Linked DNA regions of Coturnix japonica. The protein of the gene in region 1 interacts with the protein of each later gene in a pairwise test. Links are inferred from orthologs where the notes say so. Each region holds a gene or a part of one and is shown in the gene's direction. Other genes may lie near its edges.

Region 1 (4,095 bases):
GCATTAATGTCAGAAAGGTAATGAAGAAGTTGTACATAGAACTCTGTAGCTTAAATAAATAGGCTGTTAAAAGGAAGATGTACTACCTGAAATCTGAAATACAGAGAACAAAATTCTTGCTAAAGTTAGGAACTTACCCTGAGTACTGCTAATGGCAGGTTCTCATTCTACATCCATGGCGTTCTGGTACCTTCACATTTCTCTTCAAAAACAGTTTTCCAGCTGGAGTCACAGTGAACTTAAAGCAGGCAGGTGTGGTTAGAAGGGTTGGGGGTAGTACATGCAGTACTGCTGGGACAGCGTCTTGTTTGAACTGCTAACAGCTATGGCTGGTTTTTCTCTTGGCTCACTTTGAGTGGATACATCAGATACTCAGCAGCAGCCCTTTACAGTAATATTCCTGTTGAGAACTGAAGCGTGCAAGCTAATTGATAGTCTAACTCAGCACAGCATCACTTCTGGGATCCTATTAGAAGGTGTTAAACGTGGTTGTAGGCTCACGTGCACAAAGTGATGGTGCCTTCCTCTTGCAGGGTGGCATTTCCAACATCCTGGAGGAGCTGGTGGTGCAGCCGCTGCTCGTGTCTGTGAGCGCCCTGACTCTGGCAACAGAAACTGTGCGCAGCATTCTTAAGATTGACGATGTGGTGAGTAGCGTTTGTATCACGTTCTTGTTGATAAATGCCAGAATAGGTGGAAACACAGATGATACTATCAGCTGTTTCTACCATTTGGTCATCTAAAAACAGGGCACGGGAGAATTAAACTGCTATTGGCATAAGCAGGGTACCTTAAAGCAAGATGTTGCAGTGACTGTAACAATACATAAGCAAAGAAGTCATTGTTACTGTATTGTGTGGACCTCTCACATGTGCTGTTGTGCTTTTGCAGGTGAACACTCGATAAGCTGGATAAAGGAAGCTGGGACTGTGCTCTGCAGCTCCTCAGATGGTCTGAGCTGCAGCTTCCTCACCAGAAGCGCCTGTGTGAATTGTCTTAAAAGTCCACGAATGCTTATATGTACTTTTCTCATGTTAATTTAATACATTTCCTGGTTTCGGAAAGGAAATGCTGTTTATCAATAAACAGGCACCAGTCTACTTGAGTCTTTGCTTGATGATTTCACTAGAAAGGAGGTCGACTTCACTAGTTTGAATTAAATTAGCATTTACATTAGCGTTCCACATCATTGCAGCTCACATAGCATAGTTAGCTGATCCAGGCTTTGCTTCCCATTACAAGGTGTTCCCCATTTGGGCTGTGGCCCGGCCATCCCATGGTGCTAACAGGGCTCAGTGCTCAATGATTCCACCTCCAAGAGGTAGAAGACCATTCCTGACCTTAGTTTACCCGTACTCACTAATAATCCCCCATTTGTCTGGAGCTCAAACCTCTTAGAACGGGAGGTGACCAATGAGCGGAACCAGCCGCGCCCCCTCACACAGCCCCAGACGCCCCGTGCCCTGCAGCCGGCTGCGGTACCGGGCCCTGCGGTACCGGGCCCTGCGGTACCGGGCCCTGCGGTACCGGGCCCTGCGGCCCCGCCTCTCCCGTCCCGACACGTCCCCGCCCCTGCACGCAGCCATGGAGGCTCCGCACAGCGCGGAGCCGCCCGCCGCCTGCCCCCGTGCTCCCCTGGAGCCGCACAGCCGGGCGCCCGCTGCCCACAACCCACGGGATCCGCAGCACAGCGCGCAGGTAACGGAGGGAGCGGCGGGGCCGGGCCGGGCTCGGTGGGACGCGGAGCAGATGGGCCGCAGAGCTGTAAGGAGCTTAGGAGGAGCAGCGGAGGGCTTCGCTTTACAGCGGCTATGGAAACGGGCGGGGGAGGTGCCGGTTAAGGCTGTCTTAGAGCTGTGTTCTAAGCAAGAAAAGGACTTTTCCCTTCCAAAAGATCCTTCTGGATCTATTTCCCGATACAAGGATAAGGGCTCACAGGGACAGACTTCGTTATTTAACTTCCCATAAACGGCAGTCTCAAGCCATAAGGCACTGCAGGAAGACTGTTCCATGCAGCGTGTGTTAAAGTCTGTGCATAGGTAAGAGGTATGAAATTCGGCGGTAGCATTTCATTCATGAGACAATAAAATGAAGCAGCGCTATAAACCTCATTCCTCTTCCCTCTGAACCACAAAGCCTGACACAGAAATGCCTCCTCTATCCCTAGGGGGAGCTGGGCACAGAGCCGGGCCCTGGCAGCGAGCAGCCCATCGCCCCGGGCACAGGCTGTGACACACAGACAGAGCTCTCCAAGCTGGGCACCTCGAACCAGGAATATTACCTGAAGCTGGAGGAGCTGAAGAATGCCCACATGGAGACCATGGCTAAATTAGAAAGCATGTATCGGAACAAGCTGTATCTACAAGGAGTGAAGCTTTTGGAGAGGAACAACACTAACAGTGCAACTTCCTATGTCTGCTGTAGGTAAGTTCTGTGGTACCTTTGGAGGACCTTTGCAGGCTGCAGTACATGGGGCAGGTATGTGCTGCGGCTGGGAACTGCTGCTCTCCCCCTTTCCTGTAAAGGGATAATTACAGCGAGGTCAGCTTCAGTTCTTACAATGCTTATTCACTTTGCTAGCAGGCTGTCACACTCACAAGTATGCCCACAGCAGAATCTGTGCAATGCATTTAATAAAGCACAGTGCCTTGTTACCCTTTTCCCTTCCCTCTCTCACCCTCTGTGCAGTTATACAGTCAATAAGTAAACAGAGATTAAACAGATGTTTCGTATCATGATAGAAAGATAATCTATGATGATGGGAAACGCTCACCAGTGTTGAAGGTTTGCAGTAAACTCCACACAGGAACAATCTCCAGACAAAGAGATCCTGCCTTAGTGGTGGTCAGCCCTTAAATGGGATCTGGGAGAGGTGCAGCCAGGCTCAACTCCTTCTGGTAGCACAGATGAATTACCTTCACCTGTGCTCCCCCAGCTGACTCATTGCTTGCCTCAGGTGGTCAATCAGAGGTTCAGGCTGTGATCAGCAGTTTGCTATATACCCTGCAAGTGCTTTTCATCTTTCTCCCTCTAGTGAGGGCACTGAAAACAGTTTACTGCCTTCAAATCAATGCTGGAATGGATTCAAACCAACTTCTCTTTTTCCCCTCTGTTTAAAGGCCAACCTGGGAGAAGAGCACGTATCAGCCTCTAAGTCTGCCCAGATCCTTCTCTGACTCCAGCATTAGCGATCCCTTTGGCTCAGGTGTGTCTGGTGAGTCCAACAGAGAACTGCCATCTGAAGACAGCTGCAGTGAAACCGGATCATTGTTATTTGCTAAGGAGAGGATTGCAAGGATGTGGGACGGCTTCTCGGTGGATGACTACCTTCCCCCCAGGAAGCACAGCCTGCCCAGAGCCCCGGCTGCCAGGACAAGACAGAAGCAGAAGGCATGGTCACCAAAAGTCACGGTGCCCAAGCCTTTCCAGATGACAATTAGAGAAGCCAGAAGAAAAGAACAGAATGTCAAATCCAAGTCACAGATTGAGATAGAAAATAACCTACTGAAGAAGCAGCTGGAGGAAGAAGCAGAGTGTCAGAAAAAGTTCCGAGCCACTCCAGTGCCCGCTGCCGTCTTCCTGCCCCTCTACCGTGAGATCGTGCAAAGGAATGAGGAGCGCAGGAAGACTGTGAAGGAGAGGAGCAAACTCAAGCTCTTGGCTTCTCAGAAGCCGTTTAAGTTCATTGAAAGAGAGAAGCAAAGGGATGAAATCAGAAAAATGCAATTGAGAGACCTCTCTACACCTGAAAGGCAAACAAAACCATTCAAAGCAAAGCCAGTTCCCAGGTGCGTTTATAGCCCGTCTGTTAGAGACAAGCTGCAGGAGGAAGAGCTCTACAGAGAAATCCGGATTAGAATGAGAGCTGAGGAGCTGCTGCGAAATGCATCTGTGCCCACCAGCAGGCTGGCTTCCAAGGATGCCAACAAGAAGAAACACAAGTGTGCTGAACCAAAGGAAACGGAGCGCCAACCCAAGGTCCAACACAGCGTTCCAGATTTTGACCGGCTACACCAGAAGTTTCAGAAACGGCTCCGGCAGCAGCAGCAGGTGAAACACCTCACGGTGTGCGAGCCGTTCCATCTCCGCACTCCG
Region 2 (4,135 bases), on another chromosome or scaffold:
AATTCTCTAACAACATCCAAAGGTCATTTATCGGTAAGAACATGACTCAATTTGCAGATAATTGAGCGGGGCCGTCATGCATGTCATCAAATTCATCTGTTACGGAATTTCCCATTTCCAGGTGATTACACTTTGCACCTCCCCAACGAGTTCGGCTTCATAAACTGAACCGAGAAACCTACAAAGAACAACAGCATTGAAACGATGGCCGCGTGAAACGTTCATGCTTCAAAAGAGGGATATAAAGAAAACGTGAAGGGTGATTCGCTACTGAAAACATCGTGTTCTTGTTAGAAGGTGTATCCACATCTTCACAAATACACCGAACGTATGTGAGACCTCGGGGCTGCGACCCTGGGCAGGTTCCAGTGCAGAACCGCGGGCATCTCCCTCGGATACACGCTGGGCATTAACATTCTCGAGCCGTATTGACTCAGTTCCTTCCTACGCACGAATAAGAGACAAATCGCTCCCGTCGCTCCAGAAAACTCCCAAGTATCGTTTGTTTCACAAAAGGCTCCGAACAATGCGCCTCCAGCGCCATGACTCACAGCTGCGCGCAGGGTCTGACTCGGCTCCCTGCGTTATTGGCACGGCTCGTTTATGAACCGGCTCCTGGAGGAGCTGAGGTCCCACACACCTCCCTGCCCCACAGACGTGCTCTTTAATTGTACAGCAATTAACACGCGTGAGCCGCCCCGCACAGCACAAAGCGCTGCGGGCTGAGGCACAGCGCAACGGCTGCTCCTGCTGCAGCGCCGGGCACAGCAAAGAACCGGCACCGCTCAGGGAGAGCCGGGAGGAGAAGGTTGGGCTGCCCGGCACTGCGGGGCGCACAGAGCGGCACAGGGAGCCAAGGGACGGAGCCGTCCTGTCAGAGCCCTCACAGGGAGCGGCAGCAGCTGAGGGGCTGAGGGGCCTCACGAGGCGATGAGGGGCTCCGCGTGAGGAGACGCCCCGCGGGGACACGCAGCAGCACGGCCGGGCAGCTGCCACGCCCTGCCCCGCTCCCAGCGCCCCGTGCCGCCTCAGCCGCACCGAGACAACCCGCGGCACCGACACCACCGCCAGCCCCGGCCCCGTCACCGGCCCCGCTCCCGCCGCCCCTCCCGCGGGCACCACCGACCTCCTCCGCCCGGAGGCCGCGCAGCGGGACGCTGGGGCGGGGCCGGCCAGGCGGGACCGACCCCTCCTCCTCTCTCATTGGCCGCCCGCCACGGACTCGCCTCCTGGTTGGCCGGCGCTCCTTTCGATCTGCCCTGCGGGCGGCTCCCCATTGGCTGTCGGCAGAGGAGGCGGGGCGTAGTGTTTGAATCGCGGCCCGGCGGTGGGCGGGCGGTCGCTCCGTGCCACGTTGTCGCCGGCGGCTCCGCGCGGCCCGACCAGAAGGGGGAGAGGTTCGGCAAAGTCCGGAACCGCTCGGCAATGCCCGGAGCCGGCTGGTAAGGCGACGAGCTGCCGGCTCGCCCGGCCCCGCCGCCGCCCGGCGCGAGGTGAGCGCGGCCACCGGACCGAGAGGGGAGAGCGCGATGCTGGCCGACAGCCTGGTGGAGGAGTTCGAGATCCGCGAGGATGAGCCGTGGTACGACCAGCAGGACCTGCAGCAAGGTGGGCGGCACGGCACGGCACGGCACGGCGGGGCGGGGGGTCGGGCGGAGGGGACGGGGCGGATGGAGGAGCGCGGGGCGGCGGCGGGGAGAGCACGGGGCGGGAGCTGGGACCGCCGGTACCGGCACGGTGCGGCTTTGTCTGACGGAACGGGCGGCTGCTGCCGTGCCCGGCCCTGCCGGCAGCGGGGCGGCTCCGGGGGCTGCGCCCGATGGAGCACGGCCGGGATGGGGCGGCGGGACCACGCGGGAGGGAGAAACGGTACCGGCTGAGCCGCGGGCACACGGCGATGGATCTGCGGTACAGACATCGGCGGACGCGGCGATGGAAAGAACGAGCCGGGAGCTCCGGAGCTCGGACCGGGCGGGACGGGCGGCTGCTCCGTGCGGGAGCTGAGTCGGAACCCGCCGTACGAGGCACAGGGCAGCGCTGGGAACCGTCCCGAGGCGGCAGCGCTGCTCCGCGTGCTGTGTGTGTGTGTGCGGGATGCTGCCGCGGCCACAGGTTATAAAGAGATCCATTGAAATGAGGTGCTGAAGCCATTGTTTGCTGTCAAAGGGATGAGCTGAAAATCTGAAGTCAGGGTTTGGTATTTTTCCGCGTCGTTATTTGTGGGGTAGAAGATGTGCATGGTGGAGCCGTGCTGCTCTCCTGCCGTGCTGCTTCAACTTCGCTCTTTGCCACCGTGAGCGAATACTCGCCCTTGGTTCCCGGCCGGGGCTGGGCACTGCTCCGCTCCAGGGGTCGCTGACTGCTCTCCCTGCACCTGGAACGTCTCTTCCGAAGGATCAGCTTCTCACGAGCCCAAGTGGAAGGCACTGACAGCCTGCCAGAGGGAAAGGAGAAAGTGAACCGATGGGCAGGCTGAAATGCAGATAGGTTCCTTAAGGGAACATCTGTGAAACGTCCTGCTATAGTGGACTTGTACAGTCTGGAAAATAGTCATCATTCTAAAACCAAGCAACACAAGTGCACATAAATGGAGCAGCAAGGCTGGGCACTAGTGAAACTTATCACAACCCACCAACCAGAGCACGTGTAGAAATCAAGGAGTGCGTTTGTGAGGACACATCACTGAACACAAACCTGCAGCCCTTCACAGCCTGCCCAGGAGCTCAGGGAGGGCAGCAGCTGGACAAACTTCCACTTAGTTTAATTTTACAGTTAGACTTCAACTTAGACATCCTGTACTACAAAGGCATTCTACTACTGAATAGACTTACTTTTAGAACAAAAATCATCTGAATTGCTTTGTTAGATGGGCTATGAAAGCATAAAATAAGAGTTTAGTACCACGTTCTGTCTTTTGCTCAGCTACAGAAACGCTGCCAACAGGTAACAGGAAAAAAGCAGAATTGTTGTAGGATGTTCACATAAAAGTGCTGCGTGCTTCTAGTATCACAGAGTGACTCTCAGACAAACGTGTTCTCCTGTATCAGGAGAATGCACTCTACATTTGACTGTAGGTATCTGCAATGTAGAGACACGGGTGCACAATAAATTGTTAACTTCAGAACAGGTCAGATTGGTTCAATTCTTTCCTTTTCTAGGGGTAGCAGTTTGAGAAAAAGCCCTGAAATAGGCTGTGTTTCTTAACAAGGGGTGTTACAACAAAAAAGCTATGTGAGGATAAACTGCGAAGTGTAAAGCAGCGAGCCACGCGGCTCCCAGCTCTAACAAGAACTTGTATGCAGGGTGATTTGTTGTAAATAAATTCCAGAAACATTATTCAAAGCATCTGACAGCTACAGCCCGTTGTTTCCTACCTTAAAGTACATGTAATGGATACCACAGCTGTTGTTTGTCCTGAGCAGGACATCTACAGCTTACACAGACAAGTGAATGGGAACATTTTTCTGTTTGGTCTGAATTCAGTCTTTGGTTTATGTATCTGGACCAAGTGCTCACTTCAGACATGCTGCCAAAGTGAAGGTTAGCACAAAGCAGTCTGGGAACAGCCCTCTGTCTGCTACAGCAACCAGCTGATAAGGGAACTGGGGAAGGGCAGGAAGGAGATGAGAAACACCTTAAAACAAGGGCATCTTAATCACATGAAAACTGAGAATGTTTTCTTGTCTAACTAGAACAGCGGGTGATGCAGTATGTCTCATGTATTCATTTCAGGCATCTTAAAGAGAATCTGGGTTTTTCTTGAACCTCCTTCTGCTTCTTTCCCATTAGTGATGCTATCCCTACCCATATGAGAACTAACAAGGCTGCCTGCATGCAGGAGAAACCTGGTCAGACCCAGGTAATGGGAAGGAGGTGAAAAGTAACGTTAGAAATCTGTTGAATTTGGAACATGTAATACCTGCACAGTGTAGTTACTATTTTAGCAATAACACAGGATTGATTTCATCACGTTATGTTAGTTTTTAAATTGCATGCATCTTTAAACATAATAATATGAAACATCTAGCAATACTCATGCTGCTTCCCTTCAGAAAGGAGCTGGGTGTTCAGATGACTTATTTCTTAATATGAAACAACTACAGTCACTGTACCCTGGAGGTGATTGAAGTGAAAT

Evidence for each region. The genes of interacting proteins can lie anywhere in the genome.
Region 2: the proteins of FAM161A (region 1) and CDR2 interact in binary tests that used the Homo sapiens proteins (3 or more experiments, as listed by UniProt). The two-hybrid records come from large-scale screens. The link is inferred for Coturnix japonica from reciprocal best matches to the Homo sapiens genes FAM161A and CDR2.

What each region holds. Positions count from the first base shown.
Region 1 is NC_029518.1:13,367,207-13,371,301, forward strand, and holds the start of FAM161A (protein FAM161A), read left to right. Parts: upstream 1-1,290; 5' UTR 1,291-1,413; coding exon 1,414-1,698; intron 1,699-2,167; coding exon 2,168-2,424; intron 2,425-3,119; coding exon 3,120-4,095. Other genes in the region: CCT4 (T-complex protein 1 subunit delta), read left to right, coding at 1-17, 534-647, 892-906. UniProt on the Homo sapiens protein: Involved in ciliogenesis.
Region 2 is NC_029529.1:8,363,007-8,367,141, reverse strand, and holds the start of CDR2 (cerebellar degeneration-related protein 2), read left to right. Parts: upstream 1-1,318; 5' UTR 1,319-1,529; coding exon 1,530-1,608; intron 1,609-4,135.